Drosophila melanogaster: one gene and its partners. The protein of the gene in region 1 purifies or fractionates together with the protein of each later gene. This does not show direct contact. Each region holds a gene or a part of one and is shown in the gene's direction. Other genes may lie near its edges.

Region 1 (5,396 bases):
CATGGGCCTGGTAGGTGGAACTGCCGTCGTACTGCCAATCCGGCAAGTCCTCCACGGAGCTGGGTACTTTGTCCAAAACGCGATCCTTGAGGCGAATGTTCTCGCCGGTACCGTCGATCCATAAGTAAGTAGCCTGCACTCGATTGGCCGGCGTTTCCAGGTTGCGGTACCTCTGCAGAATGCTCTTGTCTAGAGCCGTGTTGGGGGAGTTGGCCAAGAACTGGGAGCGGGTGGTATTGCCAGTACGCAGCAGACGCAGCTGCTGTGTTGCGGGAGCCACCAGCTCCTTCTTCAGGAAGAGTCCTGCCACGCGTAGTGCCATCTTGGTTCTTGGATTGGAGTCGGCGAGAAGGACAAAAGGACACGGTTAGTTATGTATTGCTGGCGAATGTGAGGACGTGCGCAGGAAGGGCAAGGGCTGGTGGCATGCTGGCTCACTCTGCTTTTCTCATGAATTTTTATGTAATTATTTTCCTTGCACTTGATTTTCCGAGGTAGTTAAAAAAGGGGTACTTTTCCAGTGAAGACGCAGTCTTCCGCACAACTTACCGTGCTCTGCTCGTTTTTCCACTTTACAGTTATATGATTGGTTAAACAGTCGCTGGTTGGACAGGTCTTTTGGTAATTTTGGATTGCGGTACTTTCGGTTTTCGTTTCTGTTTCTGTCAGGGGCTGCGGAGCGACTGTTGGGGACACCCGACCAATTCGATGTTTGGAAGTCTTGTGAGCACAGTTAGCGCGACAGCATTCACTTTTTTCGTTGTTTCGTCGCGCGCCTCGGGTTTTTCTTTATCTCGTTTGCGACGCCGACGCACAGACAAAGGCCTCCCAGAGAGCATTCAAAACTGGCGGTATATGAGCACCCGCTCCGCAGCCACTAGCCAGAGAGACCTGCAATGCGACCCATAATGTTTATGTTTCGAGGCTAGTCGGGTAGCCAAAAGCCCCGTTACTGAGCACACGCTATAAGCTCATTTATGCATTTCGAGCACTTGTAGCTTGCATTAGCGCCAAATGAAAAACAAAAGTTTTTAGTAATTCTCATCGTAGAACACCTGCACCATTTATGTGCATGGCCCACTTTAGAACCCACAAATTAAGTTCTACATTTTTGATAAATTCATTTCAGAAACTATGATAGGTTACGCAGTATGCAGATGCATTTCAGCAGTACTACTTATTACAACACTCTCTCATTTCTCGTAATCTCTTCGTAAAAACCTCCACCATTTTGCTCTTTGGCTGATTGTTTTGAATACACGCCTGGTACAAAGTTCACTATATACAATTAAATATAGCGAATGCAAGGAGCACCGTATCAGCTGTGTCTATTCGTGTTTGGCATTTGATAAACTCTGTGGTGGACCGCATTAATAGAGCCTTAAATGAAGCAATAATGATTTGTTTATAATATGTAAATTCGGTACTAAATGTTCCTATTCCTGGCTTGGGTCTCGCATACGACGTTCTGAATATTAAAAATATATCTAACTAAAACTATAACTAAAATAGCAGTATAAGTACACAGTGTAGCCAACTTTTAGGCTGAGTATGTAAAACGTTGAAATTTAAATGCTATGTAAATTCTGATCTAAATATCCTGTGTGGAGGATATTCAATATTTATTTGTTACAGATTATACTTAGTCCTAGGCCGTCGTTCATCAAGCCACGCATATTGGCCCACTCCCTCCTACATAATGGCATGTTGTCGCACAAAAGCCGAGACCACAGATATGTCTTCCAATTATTTGTTGGTTGCCTCGTAACTTAGAGGAAAGTACTGAAGAACGGATGAGTATATTTCAGATAGGATTAATGTTAAAATAAAGCTAAAACTCTGTTTCTGGCGGGAAAGCAAGCTTTTTTGGACGGCTCATATTGGGAGAGCTTCAGGTGGGCATAACAAAGAAAACAAGGAAAACAGAGGAAACTTTTATGTGCCAATGTGTGAGTGCCACTTTTCACCATAGACCCGAGTAATTCCCATATAGCCGTCTACGCTTTTCCAGTTACGTGGCATCGTTTCCACTAGTTGGCCGGCTTCAGTTTTCGCAAGAAACTACGAAAGTTTCCCTCCAGCAGAGTGTACATATTTTTACACCCGATGTGCAACAACCAAATACAAAATCGCTAATTCTTATATTCGGTTTGGGTTTCGACTGCCTATTCGTTATTGCCTGCGACTTAGCTTTCGCGAAGGCAACTTGTTGCTTCAAAGCGATGGTTTCAGTAGCTGTTGAGTTACGGCACCATGAACCAGTATAGTTGGAAGCAGTTTTTGGAAAATAATAATCTGTAAGTAGCCGAATCAGGCGGGTCTCAAGCAAAATGCATCACATTTAGTTGGCACATCTAATATACCACACCCCCCGTTTATAAAACGAAATCAACAAGTGTAGAACAACCGGTTTGCAATTCCTGCCAATTGTTGACATCTCCGTGACTTGATTAGCCACAAGCTTTAAAAAATTTCCAAGCCAATAGTCATCGGGAAATTGCCAGTGGAAATACATTATTCTTTCATATCTTAAGGCGACTGCATAACTTTAGTGCTGTATGCTGATTTGAACCCAGAAACCGAACTAGGAATAATATCTCAAATTGCGGTTTGTACTGGGAAAATACCTTTTGTTGGTCAATTCATTACGTTTTTACTTGCCCCAATATATACAATAACCGGTTTAACTAAACGTTATTAGCACTCCCAGTGCAATCCGTAAATCCCAATTAGATTGGGCAAAATATAGACCGGAGCATCGTAAAAGCATGCCAACAAGGAGCCTTACAGCAATGTCTACATCTAACTGTTGCGTTCAGATATACCACAAAACTGTTTCTGGGGCAAAGTTGTAAGGTCGTCCCACGCCATAGCCACAAATGACCTCATGCCACATTAAATGTAGGGAAAAGCAAAATGTAGGTAAAATGTCGCGTAAGCAAACCATTAAAAAGCGTACTAGAGCTCCTTTAAACGAATTACGGCACCGATTAACTTATTTTTACGTAAAACACGAAATGACAAAGTACAACCCCTTATCGGCTCATTGAAAACTCCTATCAGCTGTAGATTGACACCCATAGATAAGCCCCTCCAATAACTCATGAGTCATGAGCGAGGCCGTGAACTTTTAACTTAGATTGAATAAACCAATGGCCAGAACCTTAGCTTCCAGGACTAACTACTATAAAAGGCTGATAAACCAATCAAAGTACAAGACTGGGAATCAAAGACCTTCCTCAAGGTAAAGACTTTCCTCGAAATTAGTTAGTGGTATTTTATTTCGAGATACATGGGTCCGCCGATCGAGGAATATTCACAGATTATAGGCTTTTCCCAAATTCATTCAAGACTTAGTAGAAGAATGCGCTGGCTTTTGAGAGAGAGCCAACCCGCAGTGCCTCTCAATCGCACTAGAATCCCCACCAGAAGTAGTGCTTCTATTGTCGTCCCACTCTAACCACAGACGTAAAGCATTGGGGCTGTGAGAGTATGCGATGGCACTCTCTGTCAGCGGTTGCCTAAATTTCTGCCTTTGTTCCACTGCCGCAATTGCTTATTTCAGTTGCGATCGCGGCGCGAGCGAGTGAAGTCCTAATATTTGAGAAGCGGCAGTACCGTTTCGAGCAGACGGGTGGAAAATTTCTCTCACCGGACCAGACGGTGGTGGAATCGAATCGAGAACGCGAACGAAAAACCAAACGGGAACGAAGGGCAGCAGGGGCTGCAGTATTGCTGTCAGTGCTAAAGTTTACAAAGAATACACACACAACACAGTGGTTGCATTTTGCTTTTTAACCCCTGGTTGATTGATTGACAAGATGACTAAGAACGATAATGCAAATCTGTTGAACGACAACAGACTGGGCACAGCCGGAGCGGGTCAGTTGAAAGCTCAAATAGTACCCGCCCAGCCAAAGACGCTCCAGCACCTCCCCAAGCGACCAGCGGTGGACCTGGCCTTTCACAACCTGACGTACCGCGTCAAGGAGGGGAACCGGAGCAGTAAGTACTTCCACTGTCTAGTACCTCTCTCTATATCAAGCTGCACTCCTCGGCAGCACGAGAGCGGGATCTTGAACCTCCCGCGCCTGCTCTCACCTCACCCTAGAGCTTTTGTTTCCGGTCCTGGCTAGTAGTACTCCGCACATGTGTTATTGAGCTAGTTCTCCGGAGTACTCTGTCGCTATTACGCACTTCCCTGGCTTTAGCGGGTTTTACTTGTTTGCTTTAGCTGCGCTTCGCATTGTGTTGGTTTCTGGTTTCTTTGTTCTTTTAGCAGCTGTAACGCAGTATCAACACTCAGACTGTGAGCAACGGAGAACTTCGGGTTGTGGCTGAGTAGATATGTAACCCGTCGTCTCTTCGTCAAATTCATTTCCCAGTTTCACAAGGGCGGCTCTGGCCAAAGTTCACTAGGTTTCACCGCGATAAGCACTGCTAAATACATCAAAATCATCAGCCAGTAGCCGCGGAGTAACTGCCCACACAAGCTATTTCGCTATTGGGACAGTCAACAACTTGGTTCGATGCCATAGCATCTAAAAGGCGAGGAGCCATGTACTCGCACTTTTCTCACGTAGCAGTGTATCTACTTTAAAGCATGGGTGGAGCACAATGGGGTTTTTTTTTGGATCTACTGCTTTTATGGAAAACAATTTGTGATGACGTGCCAGAGGGAGAGGTATTGTTTTTATACCCTTTCCTCGTAGACTGCCCCTGATCCGCCAAAAAAAAAAGGATTATGAAATTGAGTAGCGGGTATGTTATAGTTGAGGAAGTCAAGACTGATGGCGGCGGTATGTGCTTTCTGTGTTAGCAGAGCGATTAGGATTTAGTCACTGCCAATAGCTAGCTTTAGTCGGGTGTGGTGGTGAAAACACATTTGTGGTAATATGCAGTGCCCCGGTGGGGCCGTTCAGAATAAGTAATGATGGCCGAGCGATAATATTCCATTAGTTTGGTATGCGAACGTGCACAACTGCTTTATTCTTATATTTATAAAAGCTCATTCATGAAACCCACTCCCCTCGTTGTCGCATTGGATGGCTGGCCTCACGGCGGACATAGTCCGTGAATCCCGTCTAAGATTGAGGGACTGTCAAAGCCTGTTTTTAAGCCCAAGGCCAGCCAAGTGCAAAACTAATTGGAGAAGGCAGCAGCCTGAACTTTGCACACCTCAAAGGTCGGCCATCCGACTCAATTAAGTCGTTCAGAATAAGCGAATATACACAGATTTATTTACACTGCCCTGTGAGCGTGCCCCACCTAGCCGAAAGATTTGCAGATGGCACGCCGCCTTCTGGGGTGTGCTAAGTTATGTGCCAAAATAATGTATACAATATAAGATGGAAGTGAGGCAACAGATGGAAATTGCGCTGATTTTGGCTAACTAT
Region 2 (4,855 bases), on another chromosome or scaffold:
TGTTTAAACGTTCGTAACTTAATTATTCAAAACATATTTAAGCAATACTGCAAATGAATACATATAGTGAAATAAATGAGGGGAATCCTCGAAACGCATGATGCAATATTTGCGTCAATTATGTGCATATCTCAAAAGAGGGGCTTGGAAGAAGACACAAGAGAGCCAAAGATAGAGAGTTTAATTAGCCGTTCTAATAATTTCGTTTAATAGTGAAATGGCCATTGTACATACATACATATATCTATGGCAAAGCACAATAAACAATGATAATGACAAGGCTATTCAACCGTTTATTTTTTGTTAGAAACAGCTGATTGCCGTTTTGTATTTGTTTATATAATAAAGCTTTGTTGACGTACGCAAAGCACAGCTGAAAAGCAACAAATGGCATAATCTCGTACGCATTTTTTGGCGTTTATTTATAGGCGGCAAACAAAGAGCGCAGTTAATGCGTCAGTGTGTGTGCCAAACATAGATATGTACTATGTACTTGCGTACATATGTATGTATTGTTTGTATTTTGGCAAACCAAAACAAACAGAAAATTTGCATATTATGCGCACATTAACTTGTTTCCATTGGAGTGGCGGCAAGTTTGGGAAACATAATTTGAGCCATTGAGAAACCGCACTAGCTGTAAATCAGCTGAATATCCATTTGTAGTTGTATGTTGAACTTAGCAATTAAAAGTGAAAGGATACGGGTGAACGCAGAAAAAGAAACGGGTATCTGGTCCTTGGCACTTACAGTTCATGCAGCCTTTTGTGCTCCTCTTCTCCGTCTGGTGTTTGTCCCTATATCTTTTCGGATTTATTGCGAATTGTACATAATTTGTTTAGCTTTTCCCGTAAAATTGTTTTCCGTGTCCCGAAGCCACGTACCGCGCGTCGTTGCCAGATCGGTTGAGTATCGTAAGTACCTGGTGCCACTTATCGATAGCTAATTTTAAATATTTATAAATTCTTGTGTTAAAAATGACCTGAACAGTATTTGAAACTATTATTGAGCACAGGTGAACCTTTTATTAGTTTTTAGCTATAAAATCCAAATTTATTATATATATACATTACATATTTGACTTCCTGATTATGAAATACATTTGTTTAACAACTGGCATACACTTTAATTAGTCTATTTAGTAAAAATCTATAACAAAATAAAACAAAATTGTTCTGAAACCTTGAGACCTAAATATTAGCAAAAAGTTTGAAATTAAATGTTATAAGCGTTTGAGATCCATGTAAACTTACGAAATATAAAAATAACAGTATTTCTGGCACTACTTAAAGTCCATCTCTATAAAGCTCGTATCCGTTAATTTTAAAATAAAACAAGTGCGCCATACGTATTTAAAGCTCAGTGTGTAAAGGGATTCAGATATGGATGGTAACAGCAAAGAAATGGAAAATTGAGAAGCACCCACAAATGACCCATCGCCATACCGGATTCGGAAACTAATTCCCGAACAGACAATGGGCCACAGGTGCATTCACGACGAACTTGTTCGCAGAAGTACCCGGTTAAAAGCCTGTCCTCTGACTCACAAGAATAACAGGGATTTTCCCGAGCACCCTCTGCTCATGAATCTGGACAGAGACAGCTTATCGGATGCCCACCTGCCGCCCGAGGAAGCAGTGCAGTGCGGCACTAACGAGGACGGACATCATGCGTCTGGGCAAGGTACATTCTTCCCATAAGGTCATGTACATCCCGCAGCACGGTCAAGAGGTTAACGTTGGCACCAACGAAGTACTGGTGCAGGTTTGAAACGCTACTTTAATACAAAGTAAAGATCCAGTAGATAACCACAAAATGATAGCACAGTACATTATCTTAGCCAAAATAGAGTTATGATTAAGACGCTAATATAAATGTTACTTAATATAAATGTTACTTACTTAATGCTATAAGATATTTAAAGGATTATTTTCAATCAAGATTCAAACTTATTAAAATAACAGTATTTCTAGTATATTTGGTATTCTCCAGAGGTCATCTCTAATAAAGCAGGAAAGTTGATACGAATCGTTTCGTTTTCCGCTCATTGTTGTGAAATAAATTTGGAACAGAAGAATAGAGCCACACATATTCAAAGCTCAGTATCCATAGGGACGTAGTTATGGAGAGTAATAGTAGTGAAATGGAAGGTAACGGCGGAAAAATCGCAGAAACTGCACCCACAAATGACTCATCACCTTCACTGAACATTTTATGTGCAATTTGCAACGAGTTTTTCCGGGCCAACGACATAATTTTCTCAACTTCACGGTGCGGTCATGTATTCCACAAGGACTGCCTCACCCGATGGCTGAATAGGTCCAGGACCTGCCCCCAATGCAGAGACCCATGCGACCGACGACGCGTGCACCGATTGTACCTAAACTTCGCCGAGGCCCCGGAGTTCGATGACACCGAATTGCCCAAGGTGGCCATGGATTGGGTGCCCATTGATCTGGACAGAGACAGCTTACCGGATGCCCACCTGCCGCCCGAGGGAGCTGTGCAGTGTGGCACCAACGAAGACGGACTGCCCACGTATGTGGCCAGAGGATATTACCACGACGATCTCCTGCCTGCTCCTTATGTACCGGAAAAGAAGGCTGCCTTCGGTTCGCACAGCTGTAGCGCCCGAACTCTGACCGATGATGTCGAGATCCTGGTGCTCAACGACTGTGACTACAAGTGGGTGCCCGGACAGCATGGAACATATCCGCGGGATGCTCTGAACACGGGCTACTCCGAGCTGGGTGAGGTCACCTACACGGGTCGTGGTCTTTACCAGGGTATCCTGCGTCTGGGCAAGGTGCATCCTTCCCACAAGGTCATGTACATCCCGCATCATGGTCAAGAGGTGAGCGTAAACACCTACGAAGTCCTGGTGGTCACCCCACGTGACCAGGCAGATCGATGATGCTGCTGATATCTTAAATCTCTTATGCCTTATTGTATGAATCTGTGTTATAAATACATATGTACGTCTTATTCTATTTTTGAAAAAAATCGGATCTATTATTTCTGTACTTGTTTTAAATTCGCTTATCAGTAAGCCAAGATTTGTCCCCAATTTCTTTAATCAAGCGAAAAATTGATAACTTTGTTTTGACTGCCAGCAAATTATGTACAAATAAAAGTCCCCATATACATATGTATAAGTTAGTCTGCTATTTGCTGCCCTCAAGTATGCAATTCTTTATAATAGTTTGGAAAGTGAAGATGTTTGTGACTAGACACGGGTTTAAAAATATTTTGACCTTGACTTGATCAATGCCTACGATAAACGGAAATCTTGGTTTTTTGTATATTGTATCTAAAACGGACCAACTGTCTTCAAAATGGCAAGATTAATAAAAACTGCGGTCTTAAAGCTTTCTTACTATCGCTTTTGTAAAGTATGCACAACCGAGAGTTGCCCACAGAAGTTCTGGAAAGTGGAAACGCAGAAGACGAGGGGAGTCACCCACAAGGATTCGGAAAATACATTCATCCAATCAGGTGATGTAAATACGGAGGTAAGACTATGACATTCTGCTGGTGATTTCAAAAGTTTTCAAAAGAATTTGTTTTAATGTTTGATTAATGATAATGCAATTTTTTTGTTTTATTAAAAATGTGTTAGACGCTATTTATATGCTGATTAGTGTTTTGAACCTACGCATGTTGCGAACATATTGATTATACCTAAACAAAGAGGTTTAAGTATCTATATAAGACTACTCGTATAACTCTACAATTCATGTTTTTCTCTGCACTCCGGCTTGGCTTTGTTGTTCCAACAGAGGGCCTCACAAAATTTGCTTTAAAAATACGTAAGCTTGTATAATTCGTTTAATAAATCGGCTGAACCTGCACTATAACATGACATTTAATATATAAGTATATATTTAGCTAAAAATACAAATTTTTATATGTTCAACATGCTTTTAACATTTCACCAACAGGCGTTTTACTTTTCAATAGAAATAGGATTATTTTTGTTTTTTCATTGACTTTGTACTTAGTTTCTAAGCAATTTGTATATATAAATATAAAAATGAGTGTGTGTGACTGTATTTTGTGTGGGAGTGTTTATGTGGCGTGGTTGTGTGGGACTACACAAGACATTCATATATATATAATTGGTATTTACAAATTTAGTGGCTCCAATGTGTAATGCATGCATGCTTAATATTCTTTAAGCCTGGATTTGAGATGGATTTGTTTTGTGATTGGTCTAAATTGTTTTGTATTGGTTTAACATTTGAGCTCAGTTGAAGACAAAATAATGTGAAAACAGTCTACGTGGATATACACATCCATTAGGAAACATATACGAAGGCGAAACAAATAACTTCTAAACGGACTTCAAAAACAATTTTCGTACATGTGGATGACTTCGTAAAGTGTATAAACTCATTTCTGGGCCGACAAATAGTTCATGTACTGAGTGGTCTGCTGGGCATTCCGCACCAGCTCGCTTTCCTCCTTTCCGGATGGTGGTTGGCCCTTATCCGCCTGCCCCTGCCAGTTCTCCTCGTTCTGCGGCTGATGGATGTCTGGCTGGGAGCGGCGTGTGAAATGGCGGTGCCGCTGGTGCTGATGCTGATGTGGATTTTGTGGCGATGTCTGTTGGCGACGATCAAACGAGCTGGACGCTTCGCTGGCCAAACTGCTTTGGCTGCTGTAACGCGGGAATCGAGGACCACCGCCTGCATGCGTGGGGCTCTGATTGTACCTATAGCCGCCTGATTTATCCATTTGCGATTTTGGCGGTCTCGGCAGAGTGCGAGCCCTGGATGAGCTGCGACTATTCGATTCCGGACCATTCGAGTTGTACGCACAGTTCTCGTCTTGGTAGCCACTGTTTATAGCATTG
Region 3 (6,715 bases), on another chromosome or scaffold:
CGATGTTGCACACGATGGCATCGTCGGGCATTTGTTGCAAGTGCACGCTGGTGATGATGTCCCGGCAGCCGGTGGTGGTCACAAAGATGGAAGCCTCCTTGCTGGCCTCCTCCATGGTGGTAACCTCATAGCCCTCCATCGCCGCCTGCAGGGCGTTGATGGGATCGACCTCGGTGACGATCACCCGACCACCGAATCCTTTCAGTGCCTGGGCACAGCCCTTGCCCACATCACCGTATCCGGCCACGCAGCAGACCTTTCCAGCGATCATGACGTCCGTGGCCCGCTTGATGCCATCGATCAGCGACTCGCGGCAGCCATACAGATTGTCAAACTTGCTCTTGGTCACCGAATCGTTGACATTGATGGCCGGTACGCCAAGACGACCCTCCTTGAACATCTTGTACAGGTTGTGGACACCGGTGGTCGTCTCCTCGCTGAGGCCCTTGATGTTTTTCAGATACTGGGGGAACTTTTCGTGCACCAGGTTGGTCAGATCGCCGCCATCGTCCAGGATCATGTTCAGGGGCTGGCCGTCGGGGAAGACCAAGGTCTGCTCGATGCACCACATGTACTCCTCATCGGTCTCACCCTTCCAGGCGTACACGGGCACGCCGGTGGCAGCGATGGCCGCGGCAGCATTATCCTGGGTGCTGAAGATGTTGCAGCTGGACCATTGGACCTGGATAAAAGAATGAAAATGTAGTTCATGCGTTGAAGTTGAGATGTGGATGGGAAGGAACCTAAATTATATAGATATTTGCAAACTGATTTGCATTGCATATAGGATTGATCTATATCAGGAAATCTATGTATTTCAGGACATCAGCATTTGGCAGAAAATAGTTGCCATGTGCGAGGATTGAAGCAGATGGTGCTGCGTCAGAGGAAATAACAATCTGGAGGTCTTATCTTGGGCGCCTTGAACTTGCCCCCCTGCTGTTAAACGAAAGTTTTGTTATTCAAATTGGTGCGTAAACCAAAGGTGATAAGGGACCAGCCCTTGGACAATGCTTGGAGATACCTATCTTTCTACCTAATTTACAATTTCCTTACGGAATTTTGGTCGGTTTTATGGTTTTTGAAATGGTTTTTAGTATTGAAATGATGCTATCTTTGTGTATTATCCCGACTGTTCAGACCTACAGTTGGGCATACAATTCGAATGGTGGTACGATGCATAAAATCATTTAGAGCGCCAAAGAGGCACTGAACCCACCTGAGCGCCCAGTTCGACGAGGGTCTCGATGAGCACGGCGGTCTGGACGGTCATGTGCAGGCAGCCGGTGATGCGGGCGCCCTTGAGGGGCTTAGATGGGCCGTACTTCTTCCTGCAGGCCATCAGACCGGGCATCTCGTTCTCCGCAATAATGATCGCCTTGCGTCCCCATTCCGCCAGACTGATATCGGCTGTCGAGTGGGATATAAAAGGGAGATAGGGTCAGATAAGCAGGCACTGTTGATTTATACACCATACGGTCTGAATTTCTACGTTTTTTGCCCCAGCAACAACGTGCTCTCCTCTGTTTTGTCTCTCTTTTAACCTCAGAAACATGTGCTCATGAATAGATGCAATTCACCCGCACATGTCGCCTGTTGCCGGCCGGAGATTCGATTCGAGAGTTTGCCATCCGTTTGGGTTTATTTATAACGCAACTCACCGACTTTGTAGCTGGGCTTCGACATTCTTGCAAGGATTGGATGTTTGACTTGGATGCGGAGCAGACAGAATCGCACACAACCGAATTGGAGACGCGGGCAGCGGTAAATGAATCGAATCGCAACCCAAGACACTAGAATTCCAATTGCGGAATGGCGGCCCCAGGGATGGGAACTGGTTCCACGCAGCTGGTTCAGCTGGAGCAGTTCCGATTGGCACGATTGTTGCCATTTAAATTTAAAATTCATATGATAACTGCTGGTTTACATCCAATTGTATATAGAATCTTTTCTTTTTGCTATCATTTTAATAAAATGTATTAATAGGTCCTAAAAAATCAGACCATTGTATACCAGTTATTCACATTTTTCAGAATTCTAGATTAATGTTAAATGTGTTAAATAATAAGTTTTTCTGCCAAAATGAATTTAATATGTAATTCAAATAACATTAATTCTTTAAAGTAATTCTTTCGATATTTGAGGCCTACACTTTGATTCCCAACGAAAGCTTATCGATGCTGAACCATCACTAAAACCGACATCGATAACTGAGCAGAGTCTTAGGGAAAATATACACAGCGAAAAGCAAAGTGCGAGTCAGTGCGTTTTTCTGGTCATTGAACAGCCGTATCCAAAGTAGAATTCCCATGTCCGGCTCCGGTCTCGACGAGAATCCCTTCGGGGAGCCCAATCTGGACAATCCGTTTGCGGTGAGGCGATAGAAGAGCTAGGAGAGAGAGCGCGGAAGCCGAAGAAAAAACCCATCGCACACACACGCACACGTACGCAAAGGTGGGGTGTTGGTGTGCGTGCCTGTGAGTGTAGTGTGTGTGTGTGTTGGGTGCATTCGTCACATATGTTGAATGAATTGGTTTCTGATTGGGATTTCCCGGTTTTCCCCCGCAGGACCCCGCCATCCAGCAGGCACGACGACTCCAGAGCGGCGCCGCCCTTGTCTCTCTTGAGGATTACAATCCATTCGAGGAGCAGGCCAAGCCGCAGCTGCAGATCAACTCAACGAACACGGCGGCGGTGGTCCAGCCGCTATCGCAGAACATTCCGCCCCCGCAGACCAGTTCCCTGGGCGCCTCGGCGCCTAGCACCAGCATACAGATCACCTCGGAGGAGCTGCAGGTAACCCACTTGGCCGGTCGTCTCGCGTTACCGCCCACACAACAGTGAGCACTCTGCGGTGTGCTGTGCCGGCATGGCCACATCCGCAATACTCCAAAAACCGCATATGTACATCCAAATACTCGGAAACAATCGAAATGGACCACACCACACAGTTACACTAAAAGTTTGCCCTAAAAGTCTGTACAGTAATCACTTTGCTAGAGTGCCGGGATTAGGGCAGGCATATCACATTTTACTCTCCATCAAGAGTCAGAAAGATAAGCGGGCTTATCTCGATCTGCCAACGATATATCCGCTTTGGAGCATTTATCTGGTTGAGACTAGAAGCGGCTGCCGCGCCGAGTCTTCACTGTGCAAACTGCGGTTTCTCTTGATTTACTTGGCTTCTTCGGCCCTACACAATAATTCAAGAAATACTAGTTAGTAGATCTAAATACATATGATTTGGAGGCTTAAGTTTGCACTTTATTCTTGTACAGAATATTTCCTATAGATAGGCCAAATGCCTGAGGTTAAGATAGAAGTTTAACAAACTCAAGATTTGGATGTGAATTCCTATCATTGAATTTCGCCTTTGTTTTCCCAAATATGTAAATGAATAAGATTTAAAGTATTTACCATATACGGCCAATTTATTAAGTCATACAAAATGTATATATAAAACAGTCGATAATCATATGATTTTCATTGTATCCAGCGCCGGCAGGAGGAGTTGGACCGCAAGGCCGCCGAACTGGACCGCCGCGAGCAGCAGCTACAGGGCAATGTGCCGCAGCTGAACAACTGGCCACCGCTGCCGGATAACTTTTGTGTAAAGCCGTGCTTCTACCAGGACTTCGAGGTGGAGATACCGCCCGAGTTCCAGAAACTGGTCAAGCGATTGTATTACATTTGGATTTGTGAGTATTGGTTCTTTATGGCTGTGTTTTCTACATGTTTTCGCTGATAAGCGGTGCCATAGGTTGTGGAATTAGTCATCGCGTGTCGTCTACAGGCCGATGCCATTATTAATCAGATATAGCTGAATGGCTAATGGTCTTGGATGTGTGCGTGCCTTTGTGCAGAATATGCTTGCAAAGAGGGGAGCATGAAATTTGTTTGATTTACATGTTATCAGTATTAAGATAGTTTTTAAATGCATTTCTAGCATTATTTACTGCATGCATAGTATATAGTATATAATAATGCTTTCCCCTACAGATTATAGCATTATGCTGATTGTATGTGTCTATTTTGAATACTTTCTCCGACAGTTTACACCATGACGTTGTTGGCCAACGTGATAGGCGGTCTAATTTTGCTGTTCCACGCTGGCGAATTCGAGACCTTCTTCCTGGCCATCTTCTACACGATGCTCTTCTCGCCCGCCTCCTATGTCTGCTGGTGAGTTTATACCTGGAAGATTCTTAAAACATGAATAATGTGATGATGTGTGATTAATTTTCAGGTTCCGACCGGCGTACAAGGCATTCCGCAACGATTCGAGCTTCAACTTCATGGTCTTCTTCTTCATCTACTTCTTTCAAACGCTGTACTCGATTGTGCAGGCGGTGGGCTTCAACAAGATGGGCTACTGTGGCTTTATTACGGCCATCGGGCAGTTCGATGGGCAAGCGTCGGGTATTATCGTCGGCATTCTGCTGTTGAACGTGGCATTCTGTTTCACAGCGGTGGCCGTGGCCAATGTGCTGATGATCACAAAGATTCACTCGATCTACCGCAGCACAGGGGCCAGTATGGCCAAGGCCCAGGCGGAGTTCACCACCGAGTTTCTGCGCAACCAGCACGTCCAGGAAGCAGCCTCCTCGGCCGTTAATACGGCCATCAATTCGCAGTTTAACAACAGCAGGTACTAAGTGACACTCTGCTTTCCGGGGATCTAATCAAATCAAAAGGAGAATCAATCAATCAACCACGAACTCAAGCAGCACTCATCCTGCTTAACTGGGACAGAAAAAGATGATGATAGCCGCGCCAGAGAGAGGGAGATGGAGAAAGAACACTTAATAAACATTGAAATAGCTTAACACGAAATGAAAGTAAAGAAAAACATGAAACTAAAGCTAGCATTGGAGCATGGAACTAATAACTATTTGCTTTTGTGCATAAACAATTCCTAGAATGCCGTCGTCTTTATTACAAATAATTACTGTAATGATAACACAGAAACAACACACAATGCATAAACAATATTTATAAACGGAACAAAACCGAACTTGGAACTAAACTGAAAGTGAAAAAAAAACCAAACAAAAAGGAGAAAACAAAAAAACAAAAGGAAAACTAAAGCGGCCCACGATGCCTTCGACACGCAGCTGCAGCGGATCAAGTAGACAGGACATCTTAATCGCACGATATATGCCTCCAAATACAAGTATCTAGACTAAATTATTGTGTGTCTGTCTCTGTCCTGTGGAATAATTCGATTCTGATACTAACCCAGATTAATCAGGCGAAAGGGATGACACTGATGACGATGATGCTGCTGCTGCTGCTGCTGATGATGATGTTTTCTAGTTCTTTAAGTCATTAAAACGATATAGGAATAACCCCACTCCCTCGCACACGCAACACACACACACACACACACTCACATATATACGATCTTATATATATAACAAACATAATATAAATAATATATTTAACGCTTACATTATAGAACTTTATCTCTCGTCGCCTCGACCAGAGAGACAACAAGAAAGCGAAATTCATTTTTCATCCAAGCTGTGCTCCTACGCCCACTGCTCCACTGTCCCCCTCTCCTCCCTCCCCCCTGTTCCATGTCCCGACCCCCTTTTTCCGCCGTCACTGTCCTGCACTCACATAAAATGTCGTGTTTTTTTGTAATCGTAATTGTTATATATTATCTATTATCTATGTACATGAAGACAGCATATAAAATATATTGATTCACTTAAGTATTCACATTTTTTAGATACATTTTGTTCGTTTCTGTTTTGCTTGCAAGTCAAACTTATTATGTTACGACCTATTTAAAACTGAATTGAGAATAGCTAATGACGATCTATGGATGTGTATTTAAAATTCAAGCAAAATTTATGATAAATTCCAAAATAAATATAAAATACTTATAGATGTACAATAAGCATTGATTTTGAATTTATGGGTTGTTTGGTACTCATTTCTAGAGAATTCAAATGCATAATTTGGTGCGTAATTAAAGGGGTATAAAGACTTTTGAGATATTCATATTATTTATCTGCAAATCCCAGCCTTGAAACGCAATAATCAGGCTTAAATTCTTGGTTTATTACTGCTGGTTATCTGCATGGAGGTATTTACACAATTTATATAATAGATAGAACTGCCATCAATGCTTGTGTTTATATTAGTCAGTTTGCTTATAGATTTTAATCTTGAGTTTGTTTTGTATAAATAAATTCCAATAAAATTGAAAACCCCACAAAATGACTGGCAAATAGTTCGGATTACCGCCATAATCGACTCTTAATTAAGAGGAAATGTACAATGTCATTTAAAAGTGCACGAAGACCTTTGATTTCGAGAACTCATTCGATGGAAAATCAATTAGCAAGAAGAAAAGTTTACGTAAGCCAGTCGGTAATTAAGACGATTGAACATGGTCGAAAGTGAATGTTCCTGGAAATGCATAGTTACTGCACCCACGTCGCATTAGAGCGATGCCCACATACACGCCCACATCTTGTAAGGCCATCTCGGATTGATTTTGGGGCATGGAATCGGATTTGGTATGCCCATAAGTGTGATGTTTGTCAACGAAAGATGCAAATTTTATTTGGCAAATGTGGAATTAAATCAACAACGGGGCGTACACACTCAGCCATGAAATATGTGTGCTAGACATTTACAGATAAACATATATGAATATATACATCGTCCAGATATACATATATATGTACATATATGTATACTT

The links.
Region 2: the proteins of CG3164 (region 1) and CG10916 purify together in Drosophila melanogaster (affinity purification with mass spectrometry, with the first as the bait; one large-scale study listed by BioGRID). This does not show direct contact.
Region 3: the proteins of CG3164 (region 1) and Scamp purify together in Drosophila melanogaster (affinity purification with mass spectrometry, with the first as the bait; one large-scale study listed by BioGRID). This does not show direct contact.

Annotation. Positions count from the first base shown.
Region 1 is NT_033779.5:127,409-132,804, reverse strand, and holds the start of CG3164 (uncharacterized protein), read left to right. Parts: upstream 1-2,013; 5' UTR 2,014-2,253; coding exon 2,254-2,297; intron 2,298-3,559; exon of another isoform or gene 3,560-3,821; coding exon of another isoform or gene 3,822-3,862; coding exon 3,863-4,005; intron 4,006-5,396. Other genes in the region: Gs1 (glutamine synthetase 1), read right to left, coding at 1-322.
Region 2 is NT_033778.4:18,171,688-18,176,542, forward strand, and holds CG10916 (uncharacterized protein), read left to right. Parts: upstream 1-1,981; 5' UTR 1,982-2,122; coding exon 2,123-2,914; 3' UTR 2,915-4,038; downstream 4,039-4,855. Other genes in the region: CG5726 (uncharacterized protein), read right to left, coding at 4,393-4,855.
Region 3 is NC_004354.4:15,445,362-15,452,076, reverse strand, and holds Scamp (scamp), read left to right. Parts: upstream 1-2,193; 5' UTR 2,194-2,309; coding exon 2,310-2,372; intron 2,373-2,568; coding exon 2,569-2,796; coding exon of another isoform or gene 2,797-2,844; exon of another isoform or gene 2,845-3,218; intron 3,219-3,496; coding exon 3,497-3,698; intron 3,699-4,052; coding exon 4,053-4,182; intron 4,183-4,246; coding exon 4,247-4,655; 3' UTR 4,656-5,898; downstream 5,899-6,715. Other genes in the region: Ahcy (adenosylhomocysteinase), read right to left, coding at 1-682, 1,220-1,410, 1,662-1,686.